Danio rerio: one gene and its partners. The protein of the gene in region 2 interacts with the protein of the main gene of each other region in a pairwise test. Links are inferred from orthologs where the notes say so. Each region holds a gene or a part of one and is shown on either strand. Other genes may lie near its edges.

Region 1 (6,114 bases), on a different chromosome or scaffold from region 2:
AGTATACAGCTTAAAGTGACATTTGAAGGCTTAACTAGGTTAATTAGGTTAAAGTTAGGGATAATTAGGCAAGTGATTGTATAATGGTGGTTTGTTCTGTAAACAATTTTTAAAAAGTTGCGTAAAGGGGTTAATAATATTGACCTTAAATGTTTTTAATTACATGTTAATTAAAATGTTCTTAAATGTTTAATTACAAACTGCTTTTATTCTATCCAAAATAAAACAAGACTTTCTCCAGAAGAAATCATATTATAGGAGATACTGTGAAAAATTCCTGCATCTGTTCATCATTTGGGAAATATTTTTCCCAAAAAAAAACTTCAGAGGAGGGTAAATGATTTTGACTTTAATTGTACATAATAAGAGTTTTTTTCCTGCTAGGTCAGATGAGGAGTAAACAGAAAACAAAGGATCTTCCGGCTCCCAGATCTGCTGGCTGTATTCAGATCAGCTTCACTCCACGAGTGTTTCCCACCGCGCTCAGAGAGTCTCGCGTCCCCGAGGAGGAGGAGGTCAGATCTATATTAAACAGACATTATTCTGGTCCGGGTGCTGATGATAAATGTGTAATGCTGACCACTGCAAACATCTTGTTAGTGTGTGTGTGTGTGTGTCTGTCTGTGTACGTGTGTACCTATGTGCGTATGAGTGTATGTTTATGTGTACCTGTGCGAATTATACATTGACTATCGGGGGGTCAACTTTTTCGGTAACGATAATGTTAGTTTGTATAACACATGCTTCAGCTTATCACATGTATGCATATTTGTTTAAATGGCAATTATTTTATTAATAAAACATATCTAGGTTTTTAGTGTGGGATATTTAGCGTATTCTGACCTACCTCCGACTAGCTGTTTCAGTGGGTAATGTAGGTCAAACTATACCAACTGTGCAGCTAATTCGATTTTACTTTTAGGCTATGTGTAGATACAAACACCTATTTTACTAGTAAATGTGTATCAATGCTCCAGATCTGCCGCTTTCAGACTGTTGAATGACTTTTCTCTCTCATAGACTGACTGGCGCAATCATGCATTTACAATGGTATGCGCCATTATAGGGGTGGACAGATGCATATTTATATTATCTACTATTTTAATTATTAATGTTATTATTTACGTTACAGATCAGAGCAATAATTGGAATTAATTAGGGGGGTCAATCCCCCCAACCCCCCCTGTCATTTGCACCCAGCCTGTGAGTGTATGTCTGTGTTTGTGCATGTGTTTATGACATAATATAAGGACACAAACTTGAATAATGACATGGTTATAGGCAGAAGGTGTCTTATGAGGACATCTCCCATATTCCCATTTTTTTAAAAGGCTTATAAATCATGCAGAATTATTTTTTTCATGAAGTCAGAATGCACACAATTTTCTGTGAGGGTAAGGTTGGGGTGGAGCAATAGAAAACAGATTGTACAATGTAAAAACCATTATGCCTATGCTTAAACAGTGGTTGAAGAAGCAGGCGGAGGCCAGGAGAGCAATAGACACAGATCTGGCAGAACTGGACGACCTGACAGAGGACGAGAGAAACCCAGACTGGCTGAAAGACAAGGGAGAGTCAGTGTCTTCATGCTGTTTTTCTCTCTTTTGTCTGACTTTTTGCAGTGTGTTGCTGATCAAAGCTTTAGGTCTGTTTTTAATTTTTTTCATAGCTGCATTTATTTGGTTGAAACAGTAAAAATGCAAAACCTTTCAATAATATTTCATTCAAAACAATAACTGCTTTAATATAGTGTGAAATGTAATTTATTACTGTGATTCTATGCTGAATTTTCAGCATCATATCACCAGTCTTCAGTGTCACACGATCCTTCTGAACTCATTATAATATGAAGATTTAACTGTCAAGACACATTTTTCAAATATAACCAATGAATATTAATACATATATTTGATGAATATATGGAGTTATAAAATACTGTTATTACCTATTTATTTGAAATGTTTTATATTCCTTAATGCATCCTTGCTGAAAAAAAATTATAATCTAAAGAGTTTAGATGCCAAAACCTCAAAGTGCCGTCGGAGATTTTCATCTAAAATGAGCATTTTACACTGTTGTGTGTAGTTTCAGTAATTTTCATCGCCCTTAAAGTGAAATAACTGAACATAAACATAAAAACGCTAATTTTAGAGGAACATTTCAGACGGCACTTAAAGGTTTTAATCTGAATTCTTCCTATACATTAATTCAATTCATTTCATCTTTATTTCTGTAGCACTTTTACAATGTAGATTGTGTCAAAGCAGCTTATATAGAAGTTCTAGTAAATGTAAACAGTCAGTCCAGTTTTCAGAGTTGAAGCTTAGTTTAGTTCAGTTCAGTGTGGTTTAATATTTACTGCTGAAAGTCCAAACACTGAAGAGTAATTCATCGATGCTCAGCTCTACAAGTCTCAATCTGAGCAAGCCAGTGGTGACAGTGGAGGAACAAACTTCACCAATTGCAAAAGTGGTGAATGGGCAAAAAATGTATATATATATTTTTTTACATTAAAATATTTTTTCAAAGTCGATATTATATATGAGCAATATCACACGAGTAGCAGTGCGATATGGCTGTATATCGGCACTGGTGGGAGGCGTGCGTTGGCACAATATACAGCCATATCACACTGCTACGAGTGTGATATTGCGTTTATACGACAGTTTGACAGCATAATTGTGTATATAAAAACAAAATCAAACATGGAGAGTCTCAAAAACCCTTTTGTATGAGGAACTACTTTCTTCCGCCTTGGATTCAAATCATAAGCTGACAGTTAAACAGTTGAGCGTGCATCTTTTAAACTTTAGATCTGTAGTGTCTGCTTTTTGCTGGCTGTATGTGGGTGGAGAAATACACAAAGGGTAAAGAGGCTGTACAGGGGCTGATATTACTTAAATATATCACAGCTATCAGCCAATCAGATTCGAGAACCAGACAGAACTGTTGTATGAAATTAAATATTATAATCTTATTCATATATATCTTATATATAAGAGTCTTATCATATTAATAAATAATTAATATAGTCTTATATAGTATAGTAACTTATATAGTTCTTTATATTTTTAAATAAGTAGAACTTGCACTTTTTCCTACAAGTATAGTAAATATTAGCCATGTATCAAAACACTGAGGCCCAGTTTCACAAACAGCGCTTAGATTAAGCCAGGACTAGGCCTTAGAGAAATTAGGCTATTTAAGCCACATTTATAAAATGGCCTTTGAAAATATATTACTGGTGTGCACCTGGAGACAAAAAAATGACACTGACGTATTTTAAGACATCTCACTGCAAGTTATTTTGAGTTGAGACAGCTTTTAAACCTTGACTAGCCTTAAATCTTGTTTGTGAAACCGGGGGTGAATGTTTTACTGTTATTTAATTTATTTTGTGTATATGCTTCCATCACTATAAGATTGCATTAAATCTCATCATCATCTGGTTTGTCTTTTTTCCTGCAGTAAATTGTTCATGGCAGGAAACTTTCTGGCTGCTGTCAACGCTTATAATCTGGCCATAAAACTCAACAGGAAGATGCCGGCTTTATTTTCTAATCGAGCGGCTTGTCACCTCAAACTGAGAAATCTCCACAAGGCCATTGAGGACAGCTCTCAGGTCAGTTCTTTTGGGTATACGTTATGTTTTCATGATAATGTGCTATATGCATATCAGCTAGTGTTTTCCAGCCAGTGATAAACATCCAGTGAAAGCTTCATTTGACTATTTTCAATTTCAGGAGTTTGCTTTAAATACAATTTGTATTGTAATTTAAATACAATCAATTAAATAGACTTCAGCATTCATTTAGTTGATCAAGTGTAAAGCGAGATAGAAGACGCAAGCACCATCAGTAGCAGCAGACGAGCAAAGAAACTCCATTGAAAATACTGGGGTAAAATAAATTGGCATATTTTAAAGACATGGCATGGTAAAATAGAACTTAATGCAGTGCTTCTTGTCCAATAACTGTATATCGTATATCAATCAGGCAGTAAAGATCATTGATTTTTAAAGAAATCAGATCTTATACGTGGGGATTTTGTAATGGTGCAATAGTTTACTGGAAGCACTTCGACTGGCTGGCTGAAAATTAAAAGTCATATACCACATTGGCTGGTCTTTTTTTATCTACCGTGTTGAGCTTTTTTCTATGCTTATGTAACCCCGCCGGTCCTACACCACCCAACCTGCCCCGAGCTAGGATCGAACCGGCGAGGTGGCGACCTCATGGGAGTTGAGTGCTCTAACAAGGAGGCTAAAGACCATGGTCCCTAGCGTCTGTCGCTAGAGCACCTTTAGAGGTCAGAGGAGTGAGGTTTACCTGCACAGCACCTACTGGCTGGCCTCTGTTAAACTCACCCCCCTAAACCTCACTCCCATCCGGGTCACGGCACCAACGTAACCCTGTCGGTCCTACACCACCCAACCGGCCCCGAACTGGGTTCGAATCAGCATCCTTCCGCATGGGAGTCGGGTGCTCTAACAAGAAGGCTAAAGACCGTGGCCTCTAGCGTCTGTCAACAGAGCACCTTTAGAGGTCAGAGGAGTGAGGCTTAGCTAGAGTGAGGATAGCTGGCCTCCGTTACACTTACGAGCGGGCCCAACCATTGCAATCTTTTTAGCTCAAAACTTCCAGTCTCATTCACTTACATTGATTTTTAGATGTTAAAAACTACTTGTTATCCTGCTTGATGCTACAAGCTGACATTTTCTTATCATGTTATTCTCCTTTTTTATGTAGTGTAAAATGTGCGGGTCCTTTAAGGGGCGGAGCTGCAGTTTAGTGTGTGTAAACGGATAGGGAGAGACAGAAAAGAGGAGCAGTTTTTCGCAATGAGACTGCTTTTACTGATGTTCGCTCTTGAGTGACTGATTTTGTTGTACCACATGGATAGTAATCAATAATTGGACCATGTTATATGTAAGGGAGTTAACCCCAAAACTAATATTTTTCGACCCTGGAGTAATAAATGAATTTCCCCCAGCTATCTCAAACACATAGATATATACACTAGATATTGCAAAAAGACCCTGAGCATGCGTCAATAGCGCCGCCACATTTGTACAGTGCTCCCAGGACAAATGTCATTCAACCGCACTAGTCGAGCCAGTATACTATGTGAAGATGCTGGGCTTTAGTGCTGTCTACGGGTGTAGTAACGAGCAAACAAACAAAACAAAGCACAAAGGCAGAACATTTCATAGGTAAGATTAAGTTTTTTACGTTTTTGTATGTTCTGAACTTTTGTGCTAATCAGGTAACGTTGTTGATGATAATACAGTCACTACTGCATTCACCATAAGGCAAAGCAGAAGCAACTCACATTAAACACTCGTCTTATGCTAGTTTTGTTGAATAAAATCAGCAAACAATGCAAAAGAAATATGACAACGAGATGCTGCGCTGCCAGAAACTTGTATTATTGTCAGCTAAGTGAAGAAGTAGTTCATAACGGAGATTCATTCACAAGCAAATCGCTCCCTCCGTCAGTATGAAAAGTGAAAGCAGGAGAGGAGCTGTGTTTCAGGACATGATTAGATCAAATTTAACAGGGAGGGTGGATAGTACATTTCCGAACACACAAACACACGCTTTTTGTCAGGAATGCCCGTGCAGTCACTGATCCATCAATGTAGAAAATGTAAAATTATAATATTTTCGTAATTAAAAAAAAAAATTGTATACTGACCTCCGGGATCATAGATATATGATCCAGATCATAGATACATGTGTATATGTGTATATCTCTGGCTTTGGATGGGCACAGCACAGTCCTTCACTGCAGCTTGGTCCCGCATTCATTTCAAAGGAGCTCTACCCTGTACTAAAATGGCGGCTCTATTGACGCATTCCTTCCAATAGACAACAACCAGCTAGGTGACATCTAATGTATATATCTATGTCTCTAACACAGCAAGGGAACAGAGCAGGAAAGGTTAACAATATTCCTGAACACCATTTTCTGCTCTTTATCATTCCTAGTTATTTCTCCCATAGGCAATTGATTCAGAAGTTTTGAAACAATCGAAAAAATCAAATCAAGTAAAAAAAAACAAGTGCATTTCCGCATTGTAGAATGAGGTCAACAAATGAACACCCTTTTTCC
Region 2 (6,114 bases):
TGTTGAAGTGCTGAACTGCAGAAGCAGGAGACCCGTCGACAGAACTTAAACCCTCTCCTCTTTCAATGAAGTCGCCGGTGTGTAAGCATTTTGGATTTCCAGTGAGTTATGTTGACAACGTTCGTGTTGTCGACAAAAAAAAACACAGTTTTGCAAGCTCTGCTATGTACGTATTACGTACGGTTCGTCCGATAGACAACACCGGCATCGTGATCCTCCACCCTCCCCCGTTGCAAATCCGCTACACACTCAGGCCCTGTTTACACTGTCTTTGTTTTTAAATGGCATTTTAGAACGACAACGATTTGACATCCACAGTGGTGTGTAGCATTTCTGAGCAGCCCTCCTTCCTCTCTACCCCTGAAAATGCACATCACGTGACCACACAGACAGAGACGCACATACAGCCTTGCGTTCGAGACATCAGGTCCAGGCTGTCAGAGGACTGCTTCAATCTTTCCCTCACTCACTTGTACTTAGTCATTTTAGCGAACACCTCGGATACTGTTGGCTGGTTCCTGTTGGTTGTGCACCTTTTTTACCAACGCCATAATAACGACACAGATCACTGTCTATTCACAAGTCCCGCAAAAAAAGTGATTGACAGGTGGTAATTATGTGTGCTTCTTGCCTTTATTCATTTACTGTATGATTTGTTTATGGGTAAAACAAAGACCATGCATTTCAGGTAGTTTAAACGGTAGGCTACAAATAATGAATTGGTCATTAATTAATTAATTATTCATAATCGAATCGTGCCTTTAGAATCGAAAATGTAATCGAATCGTGGATTTGGAGGATCGTGACACCCTTAATATTCATACGGGGGAGGAGGCAGGGAGGGGTTTTGTGCTCGTGCATGTTGCGCTCAGTTTCACGTTCATTCAGATGTACAAAAGAATATGCGTGAGATTCGGCGTACGCAGTGTTTCATACGTCTGAATTTTTTTCTGCGTACGCACATTTACAGCTTTGTGCGTACGCAATGTTTTAGTATGATTTCCACGCAAGTCTTCATACATGAGGCCCCTGGAATATAAAACACATCATTTTAGAGTTTTCTGATGTTGTTTTTATTATTAAAAAGCTTAATGCTCATTGTTATAGTGCAATAAATGGCTAAACCTAGTGCTACAAACCAGCATGTTAATTATGTCAGGGATAATTTTAAATGCACATTTAAATGCACAAAGTACAAAACACAAAGAACCTTTAAAGGTTCAAGACAACCTGGAGTACTTTTTTGTGTTGATTTGTGTGTGTTAAGCATCATTAGCAGCTGTCAGCTTTAATTGTGGGAAAACTGGATATATTTGAGCTTGTCAGCTAATTTCATCTTCCGGGTTTAAAAAGATTTTTGGGGCGGGATCAAAATCAGTGACGTAGCGATATTCGGCTAGTGTAGTGATGACACGTCTGTTTTTTCATTATTATTCACAGCGGAGTTTTCTAATCCTATGATAAGACCCTGCTGCTTAATTATTTATAAGAGTACGCGTTTTCCGAAGGCAAGGCAGACCTGCCAAGCGGCGAGACTCTATGACTGGGGTCATAACCATTAACATCCATAGTATCGTATTTGTTGTCTACTAGTGTATGGAAGTCAATGGTTAAGAGTTTCTTTAAAATATCTTCATTTAGGCTCAGTAGAAAATAGAAACTCATAAAGGTTTGGAACCACTTAAGGGTGAGTAAATAGTGAATACATTTAAATTTTTGTGAACTATCCCTTTAACTAAAGTTTATGATATACAGTACAGCACCAAAACAAGCTGTTTTGTACAGTTTTAAAATAGGGCTGCACGTTATTGGAAAAATCTTTCAGTGCGATTATTTTGTTTTGTTGCGATATATGTATGAATATAAATATAATTTCACCAGGTGATTTGAATAGCTCTATTTGAAAATATTTCATTAAAGTAGATTGACTGGGTTGATCAAGTCTTTTTAATATAATAAATTATAAGCATTCAGCAGGTAAAATAAGTATTGAAAACGTCTAGGAATTCTAGGACCACGTATTGAATTTTTTTCTGGGAATAATATTTCTGAGAGAGAAAGAACTGAACTATAAAACATATTTAATACTTTATATAAAATAATTTTTGAGGGGGTAATGGCAGCTTAAAGACGCCTCTCATATGGGGAATGAAGTCACATGAATTGTTTCAACAGAATATAAAAATCTTGATAGTTCTGTGGATCTCGTCTATCAAATCTGATCTTTAATTTGTATTTTCTATTGGATTCAAGTCAGATAATTGGCTGGGCTATTCTACAGCTTGATTTTCTTTCTCTGAAAGCATTTGAGAGATTCCATGGCTGTGTTTTGGAGCATTGTCCTGCTGAAACATCCACCCTGGTTTCATCTTCATCATCCTGCTAATGTAGATGTTGGAATAAAGCAGCTAATATTAATTTACAATGACGAAGGGTAGAGGGTTGCTGAATGACTATTGAGAGATTTCAGCTGCTGTCTGGCCTTTCGCTACTTTTCTACACCTCCCTGTCTTCATGTGTTCAATACTTTTTTCCTGCGTCATTTGATTTTATTATGCAAAACGTAACTTGCACACTAATTAGAATTTTTTTTTTTTGCATATATGGATTTCTTTGGTTGTTACCAACATCCAGGCCAAATTTCAAGCCAACAGCACCTTTGAAATATGTTTTAGCAGAGAAAAATTGTGAAGTGTTAAACACTTATTTTCCCCACTGTATACAAATGAAGCAAAAATAAAAGTTAAATAACTAATCCTTAATAGTTTTTTGGAGAATCAAACAGTATTTAAACACAGAAATTAAGCAATCAAACATAAAATAATATAGTCATTATTGTATAAATATTTGTATACAATAATTAAAATTTATATAATAATATCTTTATCTTTTAATCCTTAATTAATAATCTAATATTACTATGGGACTATTGTGCATACACACATTGCGATATCGATGCTTAAACAATATATTGTTCAGCCGTAGTTTAAAATAACTCCAAAAGCCAGGCACCTTACATTTACAAATGGCCATGTGTGGTTTTAAATGAAAAAATAATGTGGATATGGTTAAATAAAAGCAGGACATCGCGTGGTCCAAAAAGAAAGAAGATACTATGGCATAATAGAACAACACCAGGATGAGTAAATGATGCCTACTCTAACTATCTCTTAAAGTGTACTCTAATATATTACATTACAGTGTATTATTTTTTAGGACTCTAACATTAATTACGTTCACAGTGATTTAGCAGTTTCTAATAAGCAATCTTCTTAATGTGCAGTCATTAAACCAAGAAGTCATGAGATTAAACATCAAAGCAAGTTCCTTCGAGCTACAGGATTCCTGAGAGGAAGTGGTAGAGCAGGAAGTGATGGGCGAGGAGTGAGTGTTCTCATAAAACCCAGGAAGAGGAAGATGACAAGCACTGTAAAGTTGACACAGCGCAGCAGAAGGGAGAAGGGTTGGCATGCAGAGGCTGGCACTGACCTGGGTGCATCAGGAATGCATACTGGAGGATCCTCACAAATGCGGACAGACTTGCTCTCCCGAGACAGGACAGGGTTGGGTTCGGTGGGTTGTTCAGACTGCAATGGGATCACAACTGGCTTCTCGACAGGATGACTGGGGGTTTTTTCTTCTGCTTTTTCATTCGAGTTCTTGCTTGGCTCGGTATCCTGGGTTGTGGTTTCGTCTTTTACAGATGCAGAGTTTTCTTCTGGAACAGGAAACTTCTCCCGACGGCGTTTCTGTACTTGTGCTTTGTTCACCTCTGAAAACAAACAACATAACATTTATGACCAGCATATGATAACAGAGGGAAGTTGCAAGTTACCAATGCATTGATGATATGAACAGTTGGATGTGCCAAAACGCTCTTCAGTTAAACAAAGAGAAAACTGAAGTCAGTGCGTTTGGGAACAGAGATGAGGTTCTCAAGGTAAATGCGTAGCTTGGCTCCATAGGTCAAAAAACAAAAAAAATTCAATCTAGGTGTGATTCTGGAGTCAGATCTGAGTTTCAGTGGTCATATGTCAAATAAGTAAATCAGCATACTAACCTCTCAAAAACATTGTAAGAATTAGAGGCTTTGTTTCCAGTGATGAGTTTCAGAAACTTGTTCATGCTCTTAACCACCAGCAGAGTGGATTACTGTAATGGACTGCTCATTGACCTTCTCAAAACACACTTTTATGTCTTCTTTTGTTTTTCATTCCTTTAAAACTTGTTTTAACACATTTTATGTGTTATTTTATATATGTTTTTATTCATTGTTGTCTTTATTTTCTTGTTACTTTTACTCTTGTTTATGTCAAGCACCTTGAATTACCATTGTATATGAAATGTGCTCTATAAAAAAACCTGCCATGCAAATGTATTCGCTCACTTTTTAATTGTTTGTGGTTTAAGAAGTATTTTTATAGGCATTTCTATAAAACTGTTTATAATGTCATGTCATAAACAAAATCAGCTATGAATTTAATCCCAATGTTGCAAAGTTTAAATTGAAGCAAAAAGTATTTAAAATCTACTATTAATTTTATAGTTCATATTTCCATTCGGGATAAATAAGGTCTTAACTAACTAACCGTTACCTAACTTAACTAAAGTTGTCTTGCATTTAACAGCCTTATATCATTCATTTTAAGTTGCAGTTGTTCTTAGCATCTATGAAAACAACATATTTCAAGCATATGTATGCATTTATAGAAATATGTAAGTATTTTGAGATTGGTGAGATCTGCTGTGTTCACTGGGGCAAAAAATAAGGAACAATTAATTTATTTTTGGCACATTTTGCTTACGATGAGTTTATGTTTGGTGGACTTTTCTGTACAGCGTTGTGAATAGTGTTTTTGTCTGCACTAACTTTGCGGTTAAGCAGAATTGTTTTAAAACCATTGTATTAAAAAGAACTGAGTTCAGTTAAAGCTCACAACAGGGGTGTCTTTACCCTTAGAGCTGTTCAATCACACCTGTGTGATTAGAATATTCAGTTCATTTTATGATCAGCTCTGCTGAATTCAAATCAGTTTTTCTGCCATGGCAATAATATTATTATTTTGCACCATCATCTGACAGATTGCTTTCTTCATATCAGATATACACTTTTTAGGAAGCTAGAATATTTACTCTATTGTTTTCCTAATTAAGCAGACGCTTTCATTAACTTCAGGACAAGTTGTTGAATTTATATGTTGTAAATTAGTCAGCTTTAGTTTCTCCACTGCAGTACACATTATAGATCAGCTAATATGATCTATAGAATGCAAATATGTGTTCTCATGTGAATTGTGTTCTTCTTACACACATTTGAGAATCGGAATATCAGATATACTGAACCCTATTGACCTTTTTCTTCAATGTGGAGTCATTTTATGATTGTTTTACAGCTTCCAGTTCAGTTTCCTAAGGGAGTAATGACTAGAAATAATGAACGGTCAAACTATTTGCTCTACAAAAAAGTGTGTTCATTATTATATAGATAAAGTAGAATAATATAACATGAAAATATCGGTTTACAACATCAAGCAGCATAATGAGCGTTTTTTAACATCTAAAATTAATAGAAGTGAATGAGAACGGAAGTCTAAAGGCAGAAGATTCAAACGGCTGCACTCGCTCATACACAAAGAATAAGGTCAATAAAGCCGCTCGCATCATATCATCTGATACATGAGTTTCTAAGACCAATATCACATCAATATAAGCAATATTTTGTTTAAAAATCTGCTGAATATGATTTGATACTTTGTATTCTATTGCTTGGATGTTTTAATAAACATATTTTTGCCTGTTTTTGATATGTCAGGCTTTACAGGGTTAATAAGACTGTGGATTTTTGCAAAAAATAAAATAAAATAAAAAATAAAAATACACTGTTGCTGTCATGATAAATCTGACTTATAAATCTGAACTTATAAAAGTAATGCATTATATATAATGGTCATATTTAAAAAAAAAAAAAACTCAAGTGGGGGATCAGCTAGAGAATTTAAAACTTGCACATGAAAGAGTTAACAAATCTAACCTTCAATATAGATGTAAAAATAGAAAACTAATGCTCATAGATGAAAAACAATTACCATTAGGTGTGTATTTAATCTTTAGTTC
Region 3 (6,114 bases), on a different chromosome or scaffold from region 2:
TCCACATATTGTCAATATTATCAGTGGAGGCTTGTTTATTCAGACTTTAGATGATGTATAAATCTCAATTTCAGATGATACAAGGTAAAAGAGGCCAGGAATAAGATTAAGTTTGATAGAGTATTTTTTCAGAGACAGTTCTTTTTAAGGACGGCATGGTGGCTCTGTGGTTAGCACTGTCACCTTACAGCAAAAAGCTCACTGGACTTTTTGAGTACCGGCTGGACCAGTTGGCATTTCTGTGTGGAGTTTGCATGTTCTTTCTGTGTTGGCGTAGGTTTCCTTTGGGTGCTCTTGTTTCCCCCAAAGACATGCGCTATAGGTGAATTGGGTTAACAAAACTGGCCTTAGTGTATGAGTGTGTGTGAATGTGAGAATGTATGGGTGTTTCACAGGACTGGGTTGCGGCTGGAATGAATGGCTGTGTAAAACATATACTGGAATAGTTGGCGGTTCATTCTGCTGTGGCGACCTCTGATAATCAGAGACTAAGCTAAAGAAAAATGAATGAATGATTTCTTTTTAATGAAAAAAACATTAAAGATTTTTTAAATAGAAATTTAAAACGTTTTATTTTTATTATGTTATGATTATGTTATGCTATTATTTATTAAAGGTGATAAGAAGATGAAATTTTCAAAATTCTCAAAAAAAATTTTGGTTATGTTTATGCTGTAACACTTTGTTATAAACAGTCTGCATGTATTTATGTGCCTTAATAGCTAGCTATCTAAACTTCACCCACCAGGTTTTGTAAATAGACAGCAAACCATGCCCAGATGAAGATGCTCACAATATCCCATTTTCAGAAGAGGCAACAGCGAAAATGATCAGTATTAAATGTAAAAGTAATGTCCCAGGAAGAGAAAAAAATGTGTGCAAAACATTTTTCTTTGCTGGACTGCCTTATGACCTCAGTCAATTTGAAGCTGAACTCTTAAATGTAAAGGATGCAGCTATACCTATAGGCAGGGCTTGACATTAACTTTTTTGATCAGCAGCCACTGTGGCTAGTAGATTTCCAACATTACTAGCCACTTGTCAGTTTCACTAGCCACACTTTTGTTGTTGGGAAATTATATTTTTATATGCATAAATTTGACTATGACATGTTAAAATTACTTGATTTAGATGTTGTTTCAACACCGATAAATCCGTTTGGATGAGACCACTACAAGTTCACAATGCGGGCTCTCTGCGTTGTCTGCTGAAGCGAGTCGGCATTGTGAAGCCCACTAGTGAAGCCCGGCGTTGTGAAGATGTCCACATGCCTCCTCATTCTTTTCACTTTTTGTGTGTGTGATGAGCTTGTAGTAGGTCATTCTGGGTACTCCTTACATACTGTTTTTTGAATGCTATGAATTCGGACATACTATTCGGCTCTTATCCTGTTTAAAGCATACTATATAATATGGAAGTATGCGATTTCAGATGCAGCTAGACTTTTCATTGAGACCCTGATGTATAATATCATCTTGTCTATATTGGGCATCCAATTGAAGAGTACTAGAAATAAGCAATAACTTTAAAATAGTCTTACTCATTCTCATAAAGGAAGTGTCAAGTAAATGAAATGATTTGACTTTATTTTACTCTAATAGCCTTATATAGTTTTATTATACAGAATGGTTAAAAGACATAAATCTGCTGTGTGTGGGAAACCATATATGCTGCCTGTGTATTGAGCTTGTTTTCTGTCTTTTCTCTGTATGTAATGTCAGTTGTTACTGGAGGTCCTCTCCCCAGTGACCATGAGTATGAGCTGAGCGAGGTGCGCTTTCACTGGGGCAAAGAAAACCAGAGAGGATCTGAACACACTGTCAACTTCAAGGCTTTTCCAATGGAGGTCAGTGTCACTCCGCTATTTCTGTCACCTCATCAGTCACTTATCCATCCTGATCTCTAAAACAATCTAGTTTCACACTACACACCAAAGCACATATTCATTTAGAGAGCCCTATTTACACGCCACCAATTTTCACACTGCATAAGCAAACAGCATGCTGAAAATGTGCTGCAAAACTTGAAACAATTGTATATCCTTGATACAATGAGCCTCGTTTCCTGATTTGCATGTTACCACAAAATTGGACTGCATGTCTGCTACTGCATGTCTGATTTTTAGCTACAAATGCACTTCAATCCTTGTCAAAAACAGTAACAGCACACACTCTGATATGGGATTTGCCATCAAGCGATCTATTCCCATCACCTGCCCCTGGCACCTGCTCTCCTAATCCTGATCTTCTGTACACAATGAAAAAGATAAGAGCCCGTTTTCAATGTGTTACCATGTTTGTCAACCAGTTACCATGTCACGTTTCCTTAAGCTGTTGGCACAACTTCGAGTCAAACCAGTCCTTTAGCAGGATGTAGATAATCAATACCTTCATAATTTTGCATATGTTAATTTCAGAGTTCAGTTTCAGTGCAAATCTCTCAATGAGTAATCAATATCTTTCACAGCTTCATCTAATACACTGGAACTCTACATTATTCAACAGCGTGGAGGAGGCCATGGGCAAGAAAAGAGGCATTCTCATCATCGCCCTGTTTGTGCAGGTATCACACTGAATGGCCTGAGCAGATATGTAAAAAAACAAGCTATAAAAAAACTGTTAATCATGGTCTAAATATAAAAAGATGAAATGGTCACTGGTGATTTGTATTGGTGTGTTCAAGTCATGTCCGGTTGTATTTTTATGAGTTGTAATTACAAGAAGGAAGTGAGATTTGCTTTAAGCCCCAGGTCTCAGAACTGAGGCATGTTGTAAGGAACCATGTTGAATGACATGGAAATGTAGAAGTTCAAACAATGAGTATGTTTACATGGACACTAATAATTAGATTTTAATATGATTAAGATATACTCTTATTAAGAGTCTAGCATGTAAACGGTGCTCTTTGATTACCAGATTTTTGAAACTTTATTGTATTTGTTCTGATTTTCAAATTAGTGTTTGTTTTCTGACCTGTGAGTGTCTGACCAAAATTGTAAGTCATAGAGACATCAAAAATGGCCGGATGGTCCTAAATGTCCCTCAATACTCAGGTGTACATACACACCAAATTTAGCATGTGCCAAAGGAATGCATGGCAAAATTAGAATTTAATTTCATCTAATGGTTTGGAACATAGAGCTTAAATTAGATTCCTAGTCTGTTTCTCAATTCCAAGAACGCAGAGAACGAACTTGCATTTGTTACATAACCAGCAATCTGTTCCTGAAAGATTGCTGGCATACTACACATGACATTCATGAACTACATATTCCAGCATGCCTTTGCACAAACCAGTCACCATTAATCACACACAGCTGAATATCGTCATCATCAATTTGTTTGGACTATTTATACACATTGCACACACCAGTCAATGTGGAATCTTTGTTTGTCAGTACCTGTATGGTTTCAGTGAGTGTCGTCCTGTTTAGTTTGTCTAGTTATGTTTTGATGATTGTTTCGTAACTTTTTGTACTTTGATCATCGCTTTGTTTTTGCATTTTTCGATGCCCTTCATGATACCTGAGTTCTTGTTTTTTGACCTAATTTGTTTTTGCCTGCACGAATAATCTTTTTTCATTAAAAATTGCATTTGGATCCAACGAAGCGTTCTTGTGGAGACCGGTCTTGCCAGGTGTCCTCGGAAGAATGAACTCAGGAGACCGCGAGGACAGAGAATGCGTCCTTTGGGAAATGGGATGCTGCGTTCTTCCTGATGGTCACGTGACCTTCACGCATTTTAAATGGAAATCATTTAAACATTACAGCACTCATACAACGATTTATTGTTTTCCCTTTTCTTCAAAATATATACTTTGCATAAAAACATTATAAATATACTCTGCACAATATAAATAAAAAAATTTTTTGAAACGAATTTCAGCAAACAAACACCCTTAATGTGTTTATTCCTTTTTTAAGATATTCACGTTAATGTTTATTTTCACAGTTTCATTTAGGAAAACTCCTGAGGTAAATAAGTGATATCTCTGAACTTTAATAATAAATCTAAATTAAATGCTGCGCTTCATACCTCCATTCGCAATGACTTCTGGGACTTCCAGAGAGAGTTCGGTGCTCAAGTCTGCATCAGAGCGTCCTCGAAATCATGATCACATCCGGGAAGTTTCACGCGTCCTCCGTACTTGCGGTCTTGAGTATTGGAACTAAACTTAGGCAGCTGATGATGACGTTGCACGAGGACACAAGACCGCTGAAGAACGCATCGTTGTATGAAATCGTTGTATGAAGGCTGTAATGTTTAAATAATTTACCATTTAAAACACGTGAAGGTCATGTGACCATCAGGAAGAACGCAGCATTTCAATTTTCAAAGGACGCGTTCTCTTCCCTCACGGTCTCCTGAGTTCGTTCTTCCGAGGACACCTGGCAAGACCGGTCTCCACAAGAACACAAGTCCGTTCTCTGCGTTCTTGGAATTGAGAAACAGCCTTGGTCCTGGAGGGTCTGCGTCCGGCAGATTTTAGCTCCAACTTGTCTCAAAACATCTGCAAGGATGTTTCTAGAAGCCTAGTAAAGCAGCGGTCACACTGCACTTTTCTCCCCATAGACTTCCATTCATACGCACATAAATGCGTCAGAGCGGAACGGAACACAAGCTTGTGCGACAAGTTTCGCAGTTCGCTGCATTTGAAAGTTCAAGCTTGGTGAACTCGGACCTGCGAAATCTCATCACATGATTGGGTGAGACCAATCCAAGATCAAAACATGACCTCTCTGGACAGGAATTTAAAACATGGACCAATCGCTAGCTTTTTTTTTTTTTTAAATGTCTACTCATCTAATCCTGCCCCTTTTCACAGTGCTGTACTGTGAAGCTGCGGTCACATTAGAGTTTGAGCATGCGATATTCTGACGTGCGGCACTGCGGAAAGGGGCGGGATTAAACAAGAATATTAGACATTTAAAAAAGCGAGTGATTGCTCCAAACAAAGACAGGCACAAAATGCACATTTTCAAAGCCGAATTTCTGACTTTAGCATTGTTTTTCAGATAAGCTAGAACGTTCACTTAGCATGTTTGTCAAATATCTGCAAACATATTATTTTTATGCTTTAGAAAAGTCAAAAACTTAACAAAACACACTTTGCACACTGTTATGAATCATTCTGTTGATGGGAAGTAAAAATCCTGTTTAATGTTTGAATTTATGGAAACAAATACTGTTTCTAGGAGAAACTGAACTGACCATATGTCCTGCTCAGCTGACACGGCTGCTCTAATTTACCCTTTTCAGGTTGGGAAGGAACATCTTGGTCTGAAGGCCATCACAGACGTCCTGCAGGACCTGCAGTATAAGGCAAGCAGAAGAGCAGCTTTAGTAAACACAACACATCCCCTTGTGACCTAAAATGTTTCTTTTGTTTGTACAGGGGAAGACTAAAATAATTCCATGTTTTAATCCCAACACATTACTCCCTGGTAAATGATTTCTTCATTAATAATCCATGATAGTGGTATTAGCATCTTTTTGCATGTTTTTGTTCTTGATGTTTTCTGACTAGTTAAAGTTTATCAGTTTGTATCTGACTGCCTCTGTTGCTATGTTTACACACTCAGATCCTCTATTAAGAGATTACTGGGTGTATGAGGGCTCTTTAACCACCCCGCCCTGTAGTGAGAACGTCACCTGGATTCTGTACCGTTACCCTTTGACCATCTCTCAGATGCAGGTGATGCCTATACAAATATTATTGGGTTGTTGACTTGACTTTGCATTTTCACTGTCACACTTGAAAAAAATGAATGTAATTAGTACTGCGATCATTTTCTTGCATGAAAACTTGAAAATTTGTACATTTTTGAGCCAAATCTTTGGCATTCCACTGAAAATATTGTTTGTTTAGTTGTAGGACCTCATTTAAGATCATGTGACCTCCTTTGAAGCCCATGACATGCACATGTTAAGTGTTTGTCTCAGAATTTCTCACATATTTAACTTTTTGGAACCATTATAAAATTGTTTAAAAAGTTAAATGTTTTGTTGTCCTTTGGTGTGACTCCCCTTTTATTAAAACAAATCTAACAAATTCATCATGTTACTGAGAAAAATATTATTGCTAATTTCATGTAAAACAAATAGCACTATATG

Evidence for each region. The genes of interacting proteins can lie anywhere in the genome.
Region 1: the proteins of spdl1 (region 2) and dnaaf4 interact in binary tests that used the Homo sapiens proteins (3 or more experiments, as listed by UniProt). The two-hybrid records come from large-scale screens. The link is inferred for Danio rerio from reciprocal best matches to the Homo sapiens genes SPDL1 and DNAAF4.
Region 3: the proteins of spdl1 (region 2) and ca8 interact in binary tests that used the Homo sapiens proteins (3 or more experiments, as listed by UniProt). The two-hybrid records come from large-scale screens. The link is inferred for Danio rerio from reciprocal best matches to the Homo sapiens genes SPDL1 and CA8.

What each region holds. Positions count from the first base shown.
Region 1 is NC_133193.1:3,049,448-3,055,561, forward strand, and holds part of dnaaf4 (dynein axonemal assembly factor 4), read left to right. Parts: intron 1-384; coding exon 385-515; intron 516-1,464; coding exon 1,465-1,574; exon of another isoform or gene 1,575-1,645; intron 1,646-3,468; coding exon 3,469-3,622; exon of another isoform or gene 3,623-4,970; intron 4,971-5,164; exon of another isoform or gene 5,165-6,114.
Region 2 is NC_133189.1:43,413,297-43,419,410, forward strand, and holds part of spdl1 (protein Spindly), read right to left. Parts: coding exon 6,087-6,114; intron 3,773-6,086; coding exon 3,490-3,772; intron 1-3,489. UniProt on the Homo sapiens protein: Required for the localization of dynein and dynactin to the mitotic kintochore.
Region 3 is NC_133177.1:25,089,568-25,095,681, forward strand, and holds part of ca8 (carbonic anhydrase-related protein), read left to right. Parts: intron 1-1,721; coding exon 1,722-1,846; intron 1,847-2,466; coding exon 2,467-2,562; intron 2,563-5,259; coding exon 5,260-5,322; intron 5,323-5,395; coding exon 5,396-5,444; intron 5,445-5,582; coding exon 5,583-5,695; intron 5,696-6,114. UniProt on the Homo sapiens protein: Does not have a carbonic anhydrase catalytic activity.